Linked DNA regions of Ovis aries. The protein of the gene in region 1 interacts with the protein of each later gene in a pairwise test. Links are inferred from orthologs where the notes say so. Each region holds a gene or a part of one and is shown in the gene's direction. Other genes may lie near its edges. The genes, in order: ATF5, CCND3 and TRIB3.

Evidence for each region.
Region 2: the proteins of ATF5 (region 1) and CCND3 interact in a two-hybrid assay, tested with the Homo sapiens proteins (2 studies listed by BioGRID and IntAct). The link is inferred for Ovis aries from reciprocal best matches to the Homo sapiens genes ATF5 and CCND3.
Region 3: the proteins of ATF5 (region 1) and TRIB3 interact in a two-hybrid assay, tested with the Homo sapiens proteins (2 studies listed by BioGRID and IntAct). The link is inferred for Ovis aries from reciprocal best matches to the Homo sapiens genes ATF5 and TRIB3.

Annotation. Positions count from the first base shown.
Region 1 is NC_056067.1:55,999,313-56,006,069, forward strand, and holds the start of ATF5 (cyclic AMP-dependent transcription factor ATF-5), read left to right. Parts: upstream 1-2,815; 5' UTR 2,816-3,013; exon of another isoform or gene 3,014-3,019; intron 3,020-4,279; 5' UTR 4,280-4,398; coding exon 4,399-4,576; intron 4,577-6,095; coding exon 6,096-6,757.
Region 2 is NC_056073.1:15,735,822-15,742,578, reverse strand, and holds the start of CCND3 (G1/S-specific cyclin-D3), read left to right. Parts: upstream 1-2,748; coding exon 2,749-2,946; intron 2,947-3,845; coding exon 3,846-4,061; intron 4,062-6,757. UniProt on the Homo sapiens protein: Regulatory component of the cyclin D3-CDK4 (DC) complex that phosphorylates and inhibits members of the retinoblastoma (RB) protein family including RB1 and regulates the cell-cycle during G(1)/S transition.
Region 3 is NC_056066.1:60,298,722-60,304,678, reverse strand, and holds the end of TRIB3 (tribbles homolog 3), read left to right. Parts: intron 1-2,097; coding exon 2,098-2,390; intron 2,391-4,419; coding exon 4,420-4,909; 3' UTR 4,910-5,720; downstream 5,721-5,957. UniProt on the Homo sapiens protein: Inactive protein kinase which acts as a regulator of the integrated stress response (ISR), a process for adaptation to various stress. Inhibits the transcriptional activity of DDIT3/CHOP and is involved in DDIT3/CHOP-dependent cell death during ER stress.

The DNA of each region.
Region 1 (6,757 bases):
AGGGACCGCGGCGCGCCCAGGGTCTTCTCAGCACTGCAAGCAACTGGTAGCAAGAATTCCATACTAAGTTCATTCTCAAGTTATTAACTGTCTAACCTGACCATCCTCTCAAAACCCCATAGTCCCAATCTATGCTGCTGCTGCTGCTAAGTCGCTTCAGTCGTGTCCCACTCTGTGCGACGGTACGGACAGCAGCCCACCAAGCTCCTCCATCCACAGGATTCTCTAGGCAAGAATACTGGAGTGGGTGGCCATTTCCTTCTCCAAGTCCCAGTCTATGAGACAAAACCAAAGAGGAACAGTTCACAGAATACCTAACCTGCACTCTTCAAAAATATCAAAGTCACAGGTGACAAAAGTCTGAAAAGCCTCCACAGACCAGAGGTTGCTGAGGAGACATGAAAACTAAGTGTAACCCGGCTTCCTGGGGGGAAGATAGGGTGGGCGAGGGGGTAGGTCACAGAAACAGACTGACATTGCCTCCCGAGTTGTGACAAACACCAGTATAATACAAGATGCCCACGGGAAGCAGGGAGGCTGTGTGAGGGGTTCCCCGGGAACTCTCTGTATTGTCTTTGCAGCTTTGTAGTCAATCTAGTTATTCCAAAACAAAAAGTTAAAGAAAAATACTCTACCTAGTCCACCAGTTATAATCTAGAAGACTGGGGGATGACTGTGCCCCCACTGCCAGCAGCCTGTCCAATGGTCCCCCCTAATCCCACACGCTAGTACTCAACACTGAGGAGTGGCAGTCAGTCCTTACTTTAAAGACCTTTAGAAGCACTACTGCTGGGCACTAGAGATAAACCATATCCACCTTAATAGTAACAATGAATCCCTTATGTAACACCTTACTCTGTGCCAGGCACTAGTCCAAGGGCACCTGACCTGGATCAATTCATTTAATCCTCAATACTAAAAAATAGGTACTGTCAATGGCCACATACATTGGCCATCAGCATGTTTCTACTAACTCAACTCCATATTTGATTCTAGAACTATTAAGGAAAGCAAGGCACTTGGAAGGGAAATTGCCAGTAAGCTAGTTAAGTGGGGTGTAGTCAGGGGTTGAATCCAACAACTTGGCTCCAGAGTCTGTGCTCTTAACCGTTACTCTGTTGCCTCAGTAAAAAACAGCCCCTATAGGGCAAGAGCTCAAATACTGGCAGAGTGGATAAAGTGAAGGGAATGTGGTCAGATCCCAAGAAGGACTTCCAGTATGCAAGAGTAGCCTGTATTAGGGATGCAATATACAATAAACCTCATTAATACCACCATATGTTGTGTATGAAAGCTGTTACAAGAGTAAATCCTAAGAGTTCTCATCACAAGGAAAACAGGATGTATTTCTTTCTATTTCTTCAGCTTTCTATCTGTAGGAGATAATGTTCACTACACTTACTAATCAATTTATGAGGTATGTTCAATCAAATCACTATGCTGTACGCCTTAAGCTTACCCAGTGCTACATGTCAATCATAGCCCAATAAATCTGGAAGGAAAAAAAAAAAAAGAGCATCTGAACTTAGAGGAAGAAAAAAAAGCCTGTCTTCATTCTCAGATAACTCTGAAGATCAAGGTCCCTTGTCTTCTCAGGATCTTGATTCAGTCTCATAAGCACCAGGAAAAGCTCAACTCCAGGTGTAATGTCCTGCTGTGGACGAACGGAGGATGGGTTTCTGCAGCACAGGAAAGACCCACAACCACTTGGGCTGGGAGGGTCCAGCCTACCGGGAGGGGATGGTTAGGAAGTCCCATCTCTTTGAGCAATGGATTACAGATCTTCCTATTTCTGGCAGACCTGCACGATTGATGGTGGGGTCGGGGGAGCTGAGGTAGAGGACAGTCTGAAAGGGAGCTTAGGTGGAGGGTATGGACAAAAGAAGGAACCAACTGACCTGAAAGGAATGCTGAGGATAAGCGTTGAGGGTAGGTGGGCAGGAGACAGAGAAAAGATAACAAGCCTGAGGGTGATAACTGACTCGCTGCACCAAGATGGGGCCGAGCGTCCATGTTATGAATGGGAAAGGGGGGGGATGGCTGGGAATTACCTTGGAGGAGGTAAAAGAGACACAAGGATGACCTTTTAGCAAGTGTTGGATGGTCTAGCGTCTGGGGTTCCTGCCAGGGGGGTCGGAAGGGGTGACACCGAGCCCCAGGGTTCCTTCCTACTCACAGTAAGAGGTTGAGAGAGCATGTACGAAGTGGGATCTCAGTTTCACAGGCAACGACTCATTTGATTCTGACAAATGACCCCACCAGGTACAACTGATTATTCTCCGCGTTTTACAGATAGTCTCCTGTCTAGGCTGCTAGAGAATTCAGGTCTTTTGCCCAAGGCCACCTTCGCCGGCCTGGGATTTGACTGGAGCGCGCTCTGTGACTCACGCCAGGTTCTAAGCCACAGGAAAGGTTCTCAGAGTGGGACGGCAGTTGAAGGATGAGGAGAGTAGCATGTGGCTGGCCGGAAATTCGCGAAGCAGGGGAAAGCAAAGGAGAAATGAACCGGCCGGAGTCTCGGGGAAGACGGATTATCGAGTCACCAGAATCAGAGGGAGCAGAGGGCCGGAACCCAGAGTCAGAGAGAAGGGAGGGTCGGAACCCCCGGAGTCGGGAGAAAAGCGGGGCTAGATCCACGAGTAAGAGGAAGGAGAGGCCTGGACCCCCGGGATCGAAAGCCGGGATCAGATCCCCGAGGGCAGGGGTGCAGGCCCGCCTCCGCGTTGGGGCCACGTGGGGCGGGGCGCGGAAGGATCCGCGCAGGCCGTGCTGCGCCGCCCGCGGTATATCTGTGTCCAGTCCCCGGGGCCACCTCATTCCCCATCCTCAGATCACGGTCTCTCCTCACTCTACCGCCACGCCGCCTCTGCCCGCATACCCCCGGCCATGGCTCTGTAGCCGCGACCCCTCTGTGCCCCCGGCCAGTCTCCGCGCTCACCGCGCCTGCGCTCTCCGCTCCTGCCGTCTCCCTTCAGCCGAGGCCGCCGCCGCCTCTCCTTTGCGCAGCCATGGAGTGAGTAACCGCTCGCCCCTCCCTCTCCAACCGCCTTTCCCGCCCTTTCGAAGCTCGCGGCCCTCGCGACCGAGCCCGGGGGGGTGGGGAGACTGAGGAATCACGGTCGCGCAGGCGCAGAAGAGGGAAGACGAGCGTTCTCGCGCGACGGAGCATGCGCACTCGGGCGGGTGCGTTCTTCCGGACAATTGGTGTTTAAAGAGGATAGCCACGTGCGTGTGCGCCTGCGCACTAGTTCCCAGACGCGGTGGCTTCCCCACACCCCCGCCCTGACTGTCTGCGAGCAATTGCTCATGCGCAGCTGCCCACCTGAGGCTGTATTTTTTGCTCTAAGGGCGGGCATTAAGCAGCAGCACATGCTCACTGGCCCCCAGGAGGGCGGTGGCTACGGCACCGCTCGGGAGATGGCGCATGCGCTGTAGCCTTCAACGAGAGAGCCGCCTCCCACTTTGCTCAGGCGCCGAGCTTATCTTCCCTCCCTTTCATTCAGGCGCCTGCTGGGGCGGGGACTGGTTTAGATTGACAGGGGAGAAGGCGGGGATTAGAAACGACCTGTAGAGGGGAAGGAGCTAGGATAAGAGGCGTCTCCGAGGACGGGGTTGGGGGCGGGGTTACCCATTGTGGAAGGGGCGGGGCTGACGAAACCTTTTGCTGAGGGAGGTGGGGTTTCTGCCTGAGAAAGAGGCGGGGCCTCTGGGGAATCATCGGGGAGGGGTGGAGCTAAAATGTACCGTGGGGGCGGGACTTTGAGAGAGAGTGGCGATCAGCCCCAAAATTTAAAGGGAGAACTGCGATTTGAACGGATAACTTTGACGACCGGGCGGGAAAAGGGGGAATTCCCATGGGAACAGATTTGAGTTGGAATCTAGGGAGGGTGTGGGGCCTAAAAGCTATATTTTAGAGGAAGAGATGTAACTGGAAGAAAATTCCCCAGGGATTGAGTGTGGGTTGTTTTTTTTTTTTTTTTTTTTTAAATGAAAGGGAATATTTGGGGTGAGTGGGAAGGACTTTAAGGAAATTCCCCTGGGAGACCATTAGGTTTCTGTTTTGGAAGGATTGGGTCTTGGGAATTCTGAGAAATAAGCCAAATGTAAAGAGAATTCCCTTGGGAGTGGGTGGGGCTCAGATACAGGAAAAGGACAGGTTTAGAATTCTGAAAGGATGAGGAGTCCTGGGACTCTGGGGAGGTGGCTTGATTTCCCTGTGGCTTTGGCAATAGTAGGTGAGGCTGATCCTGACCCACTCACATTTTTGTCACACTTGTAGGTCCTCCATTTTTGCCTTAGTGCCTGTCTTCGCCCAGCTGAGCAACCTCCAGAGCCTCCTCCCAGCTGTTGGTGCAGCCTCTTCCATTGCCATCGGTGCCCAGCGCCCCTGCTGCAGCCATGTCACTCCTGGCGACCCTGGGGCTGGAGCTGGACAGGACCCTGCTCCCAGCTAGCGGGCTGGGCTGGCTCGTAGACTATGGGAAACTCCCCCTGGCCCCTGCCCCCCTGGGCCCCTATGAGGTCCTTGGGGGAGCCCTGGAGGGCGGGCTTCCAGGGGGGGGAGAGCCCCTGGCAGGTAAGAGTAGGTGAAGAATGGAGGTGGGGTGAGCTGGGGGGAGAGGGAGAAGAAAGAATTCATTCATCTGATAAATATTTTTTAATGAGTACCTGTAATAGGGCTTCCCCAATGGCTCAGCAGGTCAAGAATCCACCTGCAATTCGAGGGACACAGGAGACATAGGTTCAATCCCTGGGTTGGGAAAAAAGCCTGGAGGAGGAAGTGGCAACCCACTCCAGCCTGGAGAATCCCATGGATAGAGGAGCCTGGTAGGCTACAGTATATGGGGTCACAAAAAGTTGGACATGGCTTGAAAAGTTGAACAACTAAGTAACGACAACAGCATAATATGTCAGGCACTGTTTTAGGGGATACAGCTGGGAACAAGACTGACATGATCCTTGCCTCCTTGGAGCTCACACTCTACTGGGAAGACATGCAGGAGACAAATTAAATGATGTATGGGAATAAGTGGGAAACACTTAGCTGAGTTTAAAAATGGCAATGAGAAAAAAAAATAAAAATGACAACGAGGACACGTTTGGCGGGGGGAGCCAAGAAACCCTCTCCAAGCCAGTAACATTTTGGCTGAGACCTAAGGAATGATAAGGAACAACCCATAAAAAGACCCAAAGGAAGAGCTTTTCAGGTGCAGGAAACAGCACAGGCAGAGCCCCTGAAGCAGGAAGTATTTTATTCATTGCGTGCTTGGGTGCTAAGTCGCCAGATCGTGGCTATGGACTCTAGCCCACCAGGCTCCTCTCTCTGTGCATGGTATTCTCCAGGCGAGAATACGAGTGGGTTGCCATGCCCTCCTCCAGGAGATACTCATGACCCAGGGATCAAACTTGCATCTCTTACATTTCCTGCATTGGCAGGTGGGTTCTTAACTTCTAGCACCACCTGGGAAGCCCATTTTATTCACTGGTGGTGATTTAGTCGCTAAGTTGTGTCTGACTCTTGCGACCGCATGAACTGTAGCCCACCAGGCTCCTCTGTCCATTGGATTTTCCAGGCAAGAATACTGGAGCAGGTTGCCATTTCCTCCTCCAGGGGATCTTCCCGACCCAGGAATGAAACCTGGGTCTCCTGCATTGCAGGCAGATTCTTTACCAACTGAGCTATGAGGGAAGTGTATCCCAAATGCTTGGCACATAGTGGGGTTTCAATAATTAAAGATGAAACAGGGTGTGTTTACATGTGATCTAGTTTGCCATTTATAATAAACTAGAGAGTAAATCAAGAAACCAGAGATGCAGGGTAATCAGTAAGGAGGATGTTGGAACAGTTGAAGAAATGGCTGGTTGACTGTTTTCTCATTTGGGTCATTGATGGTTGGTTAACGGGTTGGTTAGATGTTTGGTTTATTGGTTGGTTGGTTGGCTGGTCTGTTGACTGGTTTGATGATTTGTTGATTGGTTGGTTGGCTGGCTGGTGGTTTAACTCAATGAATGTGATGAATGAGGTGGGCATGAGTGAGATCTGGTTGGGTGGAGGATTAGGAAATCAAGGAGCTTTCTGTCCTGCAATCCTCCAGGAGACGGCTTCTCTGACTGGATGACCGAACGGGTCGACTTTACAGCCCTGCTCCCTCTGGAGCCCCCCTTGCCCTCAGGTGCCCTCCCCCCACCTTCCCCACCCCCACCTGACCTGGAAGCTATGGCCTCCCTGCTCAAGAAGGAGCTGGAGCAGATGGAAGACTACTTCCTCGATGCCCCTCTGCTCCCACCATCCTCCCCACCTCTGCCGCCACTGCCGCCGCCGCCGCCGCCGCCGGCACCGGCATGTTCCCTCCCTCTCCCCCTCCCCCTGCCCACCTTTGACCTCCCCCAGCCCCCTTCCCTGGACACCCTCGACTTGCTGGCCATCTACTGCCGCAGTGAGGCTGGGCAGGGGGACTCGGGATTGGCGCCCCCGCCCCAACCTCCGCAAGCCCCGCCCCCACCCCGCCCCGCCCCCTACCCAAGTCCTGCTGCCAGCCGAGGGGACCGCAAGCAGAAGAAGCGAGACCAGAACAAGTCCGCGGCTCTGAGGTACCGCCAGAGGAAGCGTGCAGAGGGCGAGGCCCTGGAGGGCGAGTGCCAGGGGCTGGAGGCGCGGAACCGGGAGTTGAGGGAGAGGGCGGAGTCGGTGGAGCGGGAGATCCAGTACGTCAAGGATCTGCTCATCGAAGTGTACAAGGCTCGCAGCCAGAGGACC
Region 2 (6,757 bases), on another chromosome or scaffold:
ACTCATAGATCAGCACAAGAGGTAGCGGAATGAAGTAGTTAAGAGCATGGATTCTCCAGCCAGACTCACTAGATTGTATCTAGCCTCGACCACTTTAGCTTTGTGACCTTGGGCAAATTATTTAGCCACTTTAAAGTACTGGTTTCCCTTTCTGTAAAATGGAGGGAAATAATAGTATACTTATGGAGAAAAAAAATGATTTACTCTCTCATCAAAGATGCACCATCTTAACAGAACAGTCCTACTCAATAATTCTGAAAGTAAAAAAACATCCAGGACAGAACTGGTTTTTGGTTATGTACTAACTTCAAAAGCTACATTTTTAGCCCTTCTGCACCCTAAAAGCCCTGTACGCTTCAACATGTTTGCCTCCCCTTAACGTCATATCTAATTTTTATAATTTTAAATACACTGTTCTCTTTAACAAAAGCGTGCAATGCAATGATTAGTTAGCTCAAGAAACTTCTTGCTTGTATTTTTGAAGACAGGAATAGAAGACTTACAAGATCAGAGAAGGTACACAGCCCACATTCACACTGATACAACAAGAACTCTTGAATTTAAAAATTTATACACATTACTAATAAACCACTTTTCATCTCGCCAGTTGGTAGTTGTTTTTTTTTTTAAGTAGATATCTAATGTTTGTTCATTAGTTTGGTTCAGCCTTTCAGCAGGGAAATTTGGTAATAAGAACTGTATCAAAAGCCTTAGAATGTTTCATAACTTCAGATTGAGAAATTTCACTTCTAGAAATTAATTCACTTCTAGAAATAATCATGAGTGTGCACAAAAATATTACCACAAAAATATTTTACAGTATTATTTCTAATAGGGAGGAACTAGAAACTACCTAGATTTCCAATAATACAGCTTTGGTGAAATACATTACGATATATTCACTCAATGGTTTACTAGGTAGTTATTTAAAAAGTTATAGAATATTTAATGAGATGGAAAAGTGCTGACAGTATACTTTTTCGTGAAAAAAAAAAAGTTTACAAAATAGTTCGCAATGATGTCATTCTTAAAAATATGTTTATTCATAGAACAATTTTAGAAAAATAAACATTGTCATTTTAAAGGGTTATCTGGCCAACTGATGCAATGCGCCAACTCATTGGAAAAGGCCCTGATGCTGGGAAAGACTAAGGGCTGGAGGAGAAGGGGACAACAGAGGATGAGATGGTTGGATGGCATCACTGACTCAATGGACATGAGTTTGAGCAAGCTCTGGGAGATGGTGAAGGACAGGGAAGCCTGGCATGCTGCAGTCCATGGGGTCTCAAAGAGTTGGATATGACTTAGTGACTGAAGGACAACAATCTGGATGGTGAAACTGCCAGTACTTACTCTTTACTTTTTTGTGTGACATTGGTATTTTCTGTCTTCTACAATGCATTGAATATTTCCGTGATATGCAAACAGCAAAAAATTTATTGTATAAAAAAGAACAATTCACTGGGATAATGCTTAGCGCAGGACTGACCTCTTTCTATAGAGTGTCATTTCTCTAGTAATTAACTTCCTTAGTGTCTCACCTCCTTGGAGGACCCCAGGAAAGGCAGGGATCCCCATGGCCTCCTGCCATTTGGAGCATTACTGGAGGCTTGTGGTGTGTTTGCCTCCTGGTCACGCGGAATCCAGCTCTGGAAACGCTGCAAAGTCCCAAAGCTTGGGAGGTAAAAGTGGCGCCTGAAAGATTTTATACAATCTGAGCAAGAAACTCCTCTAGAAAGGAGGCAGTTTCTCCGCCCATCATTTCCTCAAACGGAAACTAAGGCCAACGTCAGGGTTTGTCCAAGGCCACACACCCAACTTAATGACAGACAAGGTGAGGCCTTGAATCCATGACCCTTCCGCCCTGTTGTAGTTCTCAAGCGTGCGGATTTAGGACTGTCTCTTCTCACACTTTAGTGTGTACAGGAATCACCAGGGATCTGGTTAAAGGCAGATTTTGATCCAGTAGGTCAGGGGATGGGCCTGAGGTTCTGCTTTTCTGACCCGCTCTCAGGCTGGTTCGGGGATCAGTTTAAGTAGCCACGGGGTAGAGCAGAGATTCTGGGGGCAGACCGTCGGCTTCCCAATCCTAGCTCTGCCGCAGACGAACTATTATTATAGTTACTGCTTCAGTTTCCTCAACTGCAAAATCAGTATAAGACCTAACCCACAGCTTCTTCATTAAGATTTTAATAAGTGCTCAGACCAGTCTCCCCTAAGATCTAGCTATTTTATTATTATTTACTTTTCCTAGAGCAAGCAGCGGGTGAAGTAGAGTTTGACGAATGAATGAATAACCTTTCGGGGCGCCTGGAGTCGGGAGATGCAAAAATGGAAGGGCTCGGAGGTGGGGGCGGGGGGCGAGGAGAGGCCCACCTCCAAAGCACACTCCTCTAGCACCGGGTGGTCAAAAGGATCCGGAGCGCCCGGAAGCCGGCGGCCCGCGCCCAGCCGACCAATGCGGTCGCCCGGGGGAGGGGGAGCGCCCGCCAGCCCTTTCCGTCCGGGCGCCGGAGGCCCCGCCCCCGGAGCGTCGCGACGTCTGAGCATTCCACGGTTGCTACTCGGTCTCGAGGGGCGGGGCGCCTGTCAGGGAAGCGGCGCGCGCGCGGCGGCGGGGGCGGGCTGAGGCTCGGCCGCGCAGTGCCAGCGACAGCGCCACAGTCCCGCGCCCCGCGCTCTCCGGCCCGCCGCCTGCGTTCTGGCTCCCGAGCCCGCACTCCCGCCCTGCCCGCGCGCTGCCCGAGGATGGAGCTGCTGTGCTGCGAGGGCACTCGGCACGCGCCCCGGGCCGGGCCGGACCCGCGGCTGCTAGGGGACCAGCGTGTCCTGCAGAGCTTGCTCCGCCTGGAGGAGCGCTACGTGCCCCGCGCCTCTTACTTCCAGTGTGTGCAGAGGGAGATCAAGCCGCACATGCGGAAGATGCTGGCGTACTGGATGCTGGAGGTACCGCCTGGGCGGGTCTCCCCTCCCCCGTCACCCCCGCGTCCCGGGCTCCGGACATCCCGGGGCCGCCCTGTCGGGACATCCTGGTCCTCAGCAACAATCAGCAAGATGTTTCTGTGGCGCAGATCCCCGGGGCCTGGACTTTTCACTCGCGCGCCCTTAGCCGGCTGCCTCGGTGCTGTCTTTTTCTTGCCCTTCTCTGACCCTGACCGCCAGGCATTTGGCACCCCCAAATAACCCTGTCTTCGGGCGGGGAAAGCGGGGCGAGGGCCACCCTCTCCCCTCTGACTTCTCTCAAAAGCCTCCCCCCGCCCCCACCGCACGCCCGGTCTTCTCTGGAGAGCGCGCCTGGAAAACCCTGGGCTCGGCCGCCCCCGCCGCAGAGCTGGTTCCTTGTGTGTGTCGCGGGGGTTCTGGCGGGGAAGCCGGTGGGGGTGGCGCGCTGTTCCGGCCGTCAGGGAAATGGAAAGTGCGGGAGGCAGCCGCTGGAGTCTCCTCCCTTCCTTTTGGGTGTGTGCACTGGGTGGCAGTAATGGGGGTAAGGTCCCAGTTCTCTGGCTTCTATGGGTGACTCTTCCGAACCCCTCTCCCTTGGTACGGGGGGTGCAGATCAGCCTCAGTTTGGATTCCTGAAGGAAGGGAGCCTCTGGCGTATCCCGCTCCGCCCCCCCCCCCCACTCCCACCCCCGGGGAAAGGAGGCACCGCAGAGGAAGTGGGAGGGTGTCACCTTGGGGAAGGCGCATCCTGCGTGTTAGTCCTTGTCACTGTGAGTACACCTACCCCCTCCCGTGTCTTGCTCCCCATTCCACTTCCCTTCAGCGCACCGCACCCCTCGCCTTTAGTTGCTGCTGCGTTTCCTAAGCCTCTGCCCCCGAAGTGACTGTGCGCCCTCCCCCAGGTGTGTGAGGAGCAGCGCTGTGAAGAGGAAGTCTTCCCCCTGGCCATGAACTACCTGGATCGCTACCTGTCCTGCGTCCCCACCCGAAAGGCGCAGTTGCAGCTCCTGGGTGCGGTCTGCATGCTGCTGGCCTCCAAGCTGCGCGAGACAACGCCCCTGACCATCGAGAAGCTGTGCATCTACACCGACCATTCTGTCTCCCCGCGCCAGCTGCGGGTGCGTGCATACCCTCCCCACCTGCCAGCACCCCCTGCCTCCTTCCTAACGTACCAGGATGGGGGAAGCTGAGACCTCGGGAGGCTTTCTGCCCCTGTGCAGGGTAGCAGCTTTTTTTCTTTTTCTTTTGACAAAAGATGGGACAGTGTGGTGTGATGGTCAGGGTGGCCCCAGTTCAGGCTTGCACTCCCAGCATGAACCAGATCCCCTGTCTTGACCTCCAGGGGGTGCCACTCCTTCATGGTCTTTCCCCCAGATAGCAACAAGTCAAACTGCATGTCTACACTCACCAGAACTTTGCCTCTGGGTTTACACAGCCACCAGGAGTTATTTATTGGCAGCAGCAGGGCATGCCTGTGCACCCCCACTGGAGTGGGGGAGTGGAACGTGCTTCACGTGGGGGAAGGGGCCGCCCGGGTTGAATCTTGTCTCCCAGTGTGTGGACTTTGTGATCAAAAAGTCTCCCAGAGCTGATTAAAGCCAGGCCCCAGCTGCTGTAAGGAAGGGCCGAGGAGTTCCATCCCACTTTGCTTCCTTCCTTCCTTTTATATCCCAGGAGAACCAGCTCCTTCCCTCATTCTCCATTCCCTAGTCTCACCCTGAGAAATTGCTCTCAGAAGCAGCTGCTTCAGGCCTGGTGGAATCATCTTTTCCCCTTTAGCCAAAGGCAAGTGCTGAGGCACAGACTGGGGCTGAACTGCAGCTGCTTCCGATGTGATAATGATGCCCTCTCCCCTGGCCCACCCACCCTGACCAAGGTCTTTCATAACCCTGTGGGGAGCTGCTGTCACTCCTGTGGTTTGGGAAGTGGCTCCCTGGGCCTCTTGCTGGGAACTTGGGCTGGGCTCTTCCCGAGGCAGGGCAGGGGAGTCATGGTTCTCTTTCCCCATTGAGCCTGGAGAGGAGGTGGGGAGTTGCTTGGATTTGGAAGAGGTTATTTGGGAGCGTGCAGATCATCTCTCGGGGGACCCAGGGGAGAGGGGTGAGCTGGCACCTTCCTCCATCTTGCTCTACAGCAGTCGAGTCTTCTCTTGACCCGAGAGGCGTCTCTGGGCCCCATCTCCCGGGGAGGAGGGCAGCGTGCTGGCTGCTGTGATTGGCTGGCCAGGAAAGCCAGGGTACTGGGGCCCCTGAGTGCTGCTTGTCGGGGAACGGGATTCCTCTTCCTGCCAAGTAGCTCTCGGATATGGGAGTAGGAGGCCAGAGCTGGGAATCTGGGAGGCTCCACAGCTCTTTGTGATGAATCTGGTAGTTTGGGGCAAGTCTGAAGGTGGAGCTGGTTTCCAGGGCTAGAGAGCAAGATGTTTCTGAAGGAGTTTGGGCTGGTGGAAGGGGACTTCATTTTTGTGAAAAGATGAGCATGGGATGTGTGCCTTTATGTGAGGGCAGTTTTTCAGAACAGGCCAAAAGTCCTCTCCTCCCACTCCCCCTGCCTGAGCTGGGGGTGGAGCGTGCCGATCGATGACTTCCTAGAAGGTCAGAGTTGGAAGGGACATCAGAGAGCTCCGGTCAGTCCAAATAATCCTTGTGCCGCAAAGAAGGTGGGGGCCCAGAGGAGGAAGGAAGGGTCCTGGCTTGGTGCTGCACGGAGGGTGTGTTTGAGGCCTCAGGTGGCCTCAGAGGTTAGGGTTTTGATGGAAGCTGCTAGGGGTGTGTTCTCTGTCATGTGAGGACTGAGATTCTCAGGAGATACTCTGCCCAGATGGAGGGTAAGGTGGCCACCTTCCCCCAACGCAGGACCCTATGCGTCCCCACTCCGAGCTGCCTTCCAGATGTTTCCTTGGATCCTGGATGCTTTTTGTTGACTTCTGAGTTAGGAGTTTGACCCCTGGAATAAGCACAGGGAGTAGAATGCTAAATTCTCTGCTCAACTTCTTCTGGCTCCAGGCCAGGCTGATTTCTGTGAGGCTTTGTGAGAGGCTGAAGATCATGACACCTAGGTGGGGGCCAGGAGAGGGGCAGCTGTGACAGAGGGCCGAAAAGAGATTGGGTGGGGTTGCCATTTCTACCCCATGAAGGGTCAAACCCGTGAGTTCCTTCCTGAGATAAGACAATGAAGAAATCCTCCTGTGTGCAACTCAGAAATAGGGCCAGGGCTGGGAACCTCAGAGGAGTGGACTGGGTGGGGCTCCCAGTCTCCTTCCAGGACCCAGCAGTAGTAGGGAGGCTGGGACTGATGGAGAGATGGTTTGGTCCCTCAGGGATCATCACCTGGACCCATCCTGTCTGCCTTGACCTCCACTTCTCCCCCTGAGACTCAAAGACACTAAGCACTGGGTTTCAGCCAGAGAGGTGGAGTGGGGTGCTCTATTTCAGCCCCCCACCCCAGTGTCCCCCCAAGGGGATGTGGGTTGGGTTGGGCAACCTCCACTTTGAGGAACCTTGGGGTTGGCTCAGGGGCTGTGTCAGAGGAGGAAGGGCCTCACGCTAACCCCAGTTTCTTCAAGAGGTGTGGACTTGGTGGGCATGCTGAGTTGGGGGAGAGGCTAGTAATCTCCCCTTTCGCAAATCCTTGAGATTATGGAGAGTCTTTCTGCTTCACACCAGAAGAGCCTCTAGTTCCTGGTGATGGTGGTCTGCAGACTTTTCTTTCAGCTATGACTGGAGGCCTGCTCAGAGCCTTGCAGGAAGTTGAGAGAAGGCCTGGACAGTTGGACCCCCAAAAGATAACCCAGCAGGATTAAAAGAGGCAGTTT
Region 3 (5,957 bases), on another chromosome or scaffold:
TCAGAGCTGAAATTGGGCCAAGGCAGGTTCAACCCAGAGCCTTGGACCTCATGCTAGGACAGGTGGTTCAGATACAAGCAGGGCAGGTTTGCTCTGGCGGGCAGAGGTAAGGAGGATAGGGGAGACCCAGGTACACAGGGAGGGGCGGAAGGGAGCTAGGACTCCTTGGGAAGGCACAGACAGGCAGGGGGACTGACGCCTCCATCCAGTTGGCTGGGGGATGAGGGGAAGAAGCAGCAGTGGCTCCTGTTCCTGCTCATGGGGGTGCAGTGGGCGGGGCCACATCTGGACATCAGACACCAGCTTACCTGGGCTCTGGCCGCTTGATGCAGGTTCCGAGGTCTACCCCAGGTGTTCTAGGGAACCCATGAACTCTGGGTCCCCTTCCTGTAGCATCACAGGTTTTTTCTGGTCCATACTGAAAGGCATGACCATGGCAAGCTGAAGTCAGAAGCTTTCACATGACCCCAGATACCCAGGAACATTTAGGGCAATCTACTAGGAGTGCCTGTCCGTACACCCAGCGTGAACTGTGGGAGCTGACCTTCTGTTTCCACATTGCCTAGGCTTTTCTGGTCGGCATGTAGAAAGATCAACATCCTGTCTTTCTAGGCTATCGCCTTATTCATTAATTCAACAAACCCTCAGTGAGCACTTGTATACTCCGTGCATCATGCAATATGCACCACATATGGCTAAAAAGTGGGCCAAGCTGTGCCACCACAGTTCATGCTGCAGGTGAATAAGTAACACATGTATCAGGTGATCTTAACTGCTACAGAGAAAAACTAGGAGCTAGGAGAAAGGGGAGAGGGAAGGGGAGAAGGTGCAGGTGATCTTAGGTGGGAAGTCCACCTTGGAGGAGGTGACTTGAATAGTGTCTTGAACTGGGGGAGCCAGCCCTGTGGGTATCTAGAGGAGAATGCTCAGGTAGCAGGAAAAGCAAGTGTAAATGCTCAGAGGCAGGGATGCGCTTGCCTCTCTGATTTTTAAAAAAGTCTCCGTCTGTGAATTGTCTACTCAAAGCCACCCCAATTGCTTTAAGACATGTACTTACATCTTTTCATGGATTAAATGTGTATATGCTTTATTTATTTTTATTGGCTATATGTCCTAGACAAAATGACAAGCAAAGGGTTTAAAGGCAGATAAACCAAAGTGCATAGACTGCTCTGCCAGTGATGAGCCATGTGGCTTCCAAGTCACCATCCTCTGAACATCCTTTCAGGACTATGGAATGGCTTCCATCTAATGTCCATAAGCCCCTAGCATCTTTCCCCATAACTTCACCATGCTCACCACAGGCCCCACCTTCCTTCACATTCCAGCCACACTGAGCTTTGGCTGGGTTTCTGGAGCAGCTCAGTTTCTTTCCTACTTCAGGGCCTTGGCACTGCCTGTGCCTCCCACCCGGAAAGCTTACTCCTTGGGCATCTCAGTCACTCAGGTCACTTCCCCAGAGTCCCTTCTGGACTATACTTTCTAAAATAGGTGTCTCCTGCCAAAATATTCTTGATTCCAGCATTCCTTTGCAATGCTCATCAGAATTTGTAAGTATTTAGTTTTTTGGCCTGTTTAACTGTCTCATGTATTGGACTGTGGGCACCAGGAGGGCAGGGACTGTGGCTGTCAGTCAAGTTATAGTCCCAGCGGCAGGCACAGGTGGGCATTCAATGCCTGCTTGTGGGATGAAGGAAAGGGTGGGTGGGAAGTGAATGCTAGAGAATGGTAGCCACGATGGATGATGAGGACTTAACGTTACTTCTGTATTGTCTGCTCTTCCAGATTCCTCTTGTTTTAGTTACTTTTGTTCTGGTTACCTGATATCTTTTTGAATTATCTCAAGTTTAAGAGCACATGAGCTTGTAGCTAAGAGCACAGATGATGGAGAACAGGGATTTAAATCCTAGCTCTGCTCCTTGCTGGTCAGGCAGCCCTCAGCTTGGTCAGTATTGAGTGACATGCAGTGGAAGCGCTGGGCACAGGGCCCAGCCCACAGTAGTGCCTAAGGGATGGGCTGTGACCTGCTGCAAGGCCGGCCCCTGCTGCCTGCCCCCTGGAGTCCCCACCCATGCTCACACCACGCTCTGCCCACAGGTGTACCCGGCCTGCGAGAGCCTGGCGGTGCTGGAGCCCTATCGGAGGCTGCCCCATCACGGCCACGTGGCCCGGCCGGCGGAGGTCCTGGCCGGCACGCAGCACCTCTACGCCTTCTTCCCGCGGCCGCACGGGGACATGCACAGCCTGGTGCGCCGCCGGCGTCGCCTCCCGGAGCCCGAGGCCGCCGCGCTCTTCCGCCAGATGGCCGCCGCCCTGGCGCACTGCCACCAGCACGGGCTGGTCCTCCGCGACCTCAAGCTACGGCGCTTCGTCTTCACCGACCGGGAGAGGTGAGTGTGGCGGCCGAGGAGGCCCCTCAGTTTGGCCTTGACTGATGTTCTGGTCACGCTTAGATTGAGGTGATGCATTTTTTGGCAAGAATACCACAGAAGCCATGGGGCCTTCTCAGCCGGTTCTATCAGGAGATTCATGCTGTTGAGGGGAACTACTGAGATGTTAACCTTGGTCTTTGGTTCCAGTGGCTTCTGCCAAGTTGTCTATTGGAAGGCTCCTAATTTACCCTTTGTGTACCTTGGGTAATTTTTTGTCATTGTTATTAAAAACCTTGAGGGTTTTTAAGGCTTTATGTGTGAATATCCTGTTTCTGCTCACACTTTTGCCCACTAATTTCACCTGCCATCCATTCTATAGCAGCTACGCTTATGATATTTGCCTAAGGGTGGTTTTCTTTTCTTTTTAAAAATTTTACTATTTATCTGGCTGCACCGAGTCTTAGTTGCAACATGTGTGATCTAGTTCCCTGATTAGGGATTGAACTCTGGGCCCCCTGCATTGGGAGCGTGGAGTCTTAGCCACTAGACCACCAGGGAAGTCCGTGAAGGTGGTTTTTCCTTTTAAAGATGGTATTTCCTTTTACATTTTATACTAAAATGACCATGCTTTGAGTAACAATTAGAATGTAAGTTTTATAATGATTTTTAAGCTAATATGCAGCTTTTCAAATAATTTCAAGCTTAAGGTGAGTACAACACCCCCAGACCTCCCAGAAGTGAGAAAAGTGCTTTCTTTCCTTTTCAAGGCAAAAGTTTGAGAAGCACCATCAGTAAATGATAGATAATGGAATCATCCTGGGGCCAAATTCTGGCTCTACTTCTTTAACCTGCAGTTTTGCCTTGAGCAATAGCTTCATCTGCCTGAGCCTTGACTTCTTTATCTGTAAAATGGGCCAATAATGCTGTCATCTCTGCTCACCCTCAGTGCAGTGATTGACAGGACTGGTCAGCATTTTCAGACCAGCACCCAGGAAGTAGTGCCACAGGAATAAGATTAGTAGCAATGGCAATGCTATGCTTACTATTAAAGTAATCTAGAGCACTCTGTGGGAGTTATTTAAAGCAGAAGTTGCTAAGGTTGGTCCACACACACTTTTTTTTTTCCTTTGCATCCCATACCTGTTCATTTGTGGGTTTTTTTGTTTTGTTTTTTGCTTGTTTCCTTTTCTTTCTTTCTTTCTTTCTTTTTAGTTGAAGGATAATTACAGTGGTGTTGGTTTCTGCCATACATCAATATGGGTCATGTTTGTTTGTGTTTTTAATTGAAATTGGTTGCCAACTTTTTAAAACCTGTTTTTTTTTTCTTTAAAATATGATTTCTGGGTTCTTTTGTGGAAAAGGGGTTCCATGGAGGCACCCTGGGAACCATATGAGCCGCTTGTAGCCCTGGCTCTGGGCAGGAGAGAGCCAAGGTTCAGTCTCAGTCCTGCTCCTTTGGCTGCAAAATGGCATCTTCCTCACAGGCTGCATGAGGGTGAAATGAGGTGTGATAGATACAGCCTTAGCTCAGGGTGAGGTACGCTGTGGACACTCCCAAATATTAACTGTAGGTTTGTGCTGAGACGGTTAGCACAGTCCCCACTTCCTGTTTCTTATTTTGTTTCCTGCCTAGACCCCAAGTTTGCATCTGGCTTCAGAGAGTTTTAATGCCCTCAGCCCCTCAGCACAGCCCCACTTCCCCAGCCCCCAAGTCAAGTTTCAGGCAAGTGAAGCCATCGCTCAAGGCCAAATTGCAAGTTAACAAGTAGAACCTGAATTTGACCCCAGAGACATTTGGAAAAATGTGTTCCTCTCAGAGTCCTAGTTCAGATTTAATTGCTGTGTGACCTTGAGAAATGAATAAACCTCTCTGAGCCTAGATTTCCTCATCTGTAAAATGAGATCAGCCAACCAGCCTCACAGGACTGACTCATGTCTGACAAATGCCAGCTGGTATTGGGGAACTGTGTGCCACTCAGGTGGAAATGTGGGGTGGTAGAAGGAGGGGTGTCCCACTAGCTGACTCCCTGTCTCTCTGCCCGTGTAGGACGAAACTGGTGCTGGAGAACCTGGAAGATGCCTGTGTGCTGACTGGGCCTGACGACTCCCTGTGGGACAAACACGCATGCCCAGCCTATGTAGGCCCTGAGATCCTCAGTTCCCGAGCATCCTACTCAGGCAAGGCGGCAGATGTCTGGAGCCTGGGTGTGGCACTCTTTACCATGCTGGCCGGCCGCTACCCCTTCCAGGACTCAGAGCCTGCCCTGCTCTTTGGCAAGATCCGCCGTGGCGCCTTTGCCCTGCCTGAGGGCCTCTCGGCCCCCGCCCGCTGCCTGGTCCGCTGTCTCCTCCGAAGGGAGCCAACTGAGCGGCTCACGGCCTCGGGTATCCTGCTGCACCCTTGGCTGCGGGAGAATGCCATCCCTGCAGCCCCACCTCGGTCCCGCCACTGTGAGGCTGACCAGGTGGTCCCTGAAGGGCCGGGGCTGGAGGAAGCAGAGGAGGAGGGAGAAAGAGAGATGGGTCTCTATGGCTGATGTCACCAAACTGGACTCTCAGCTGCAGACAGCGGGTTGAGTCTGGGGTATCTCTAAGCTCTCTTCTGCCTCTTTGAGCTGAGCCAAACCTTAAGTGCCTTCTGGGAGGGAGAGAGAAGGAGGTGTGTGCAGAGCATGCTGGACACACACACCTGTGCAGATGAGCTCATGCCCCACTGAGTCCTCCTCAGGAGCTCCTTGTGCCAAGCCCTGTTCTGGATGCTGGGAACACAGCAGTGAATGACAGAGACAAAGTCCTGCTCAGAGCTGACAATACTTTCCATGCCCATGAGTCAGTGTCTACACTGAGCACCCACAGTGCAGGGGTTGGCATCGACTCGTGCTGATGCCCAGGCACCTCTGACGTGGGACAGACCCTGTCACAAACAACCCAGCTGCCTTTGTATCTCATGCCTTTTCAGAGGAATGGAAGCATCCCTGTGCCAAAGGCTCCAGGCCTCTCCCCTGTGATTCAGGACCCTAGAACCCAGACCAGCCTGGGAATTGTCCTCCCAGCAGCTCTGTCCTCTTGGCCAAGGGCTTCTCCATCCAGGCTTGAGTGAAGGATTTGGGCTGGAAGATCAGGAGTGCAAACTGTGAGGCTGGTCCTCATCTTACTGAAAGAGTAATTTGGAGTGAGGGTCCAGGCCTGTCCACCTCTGTGGACCAAGCACCAAGGCCAGGCAAGTTTTGTCCCCTGGCCTCCTGGAAAGTCTCAGGTTCAGGACCCTACTTTAACACTATGGGTTTATATGCCATGAGTGTGTATTTTTTATCTTGTGCCTCATAAAGAAATTATGAAATGCTGTCATCTCTCTTGGATATTTCATCCATCTTCTCCTCCCCATCTCTTATGAGTTTTTCGTGCATCTGAAACCAGCTTCAGGGTGAAAGGTCAGAGGCCTTGTGTGTCAATCTCAGCTGAGTGGTTTGTGAGAATGGAAGACCCAGTGGGTCTTCTCTCATTCACTCTGTTCTTTCTGGATGTTCTGATGTCTCAGGGTACTGTTTGACTGCAAGTCACTGAAATCTTGAGTTAAAGTGGAGA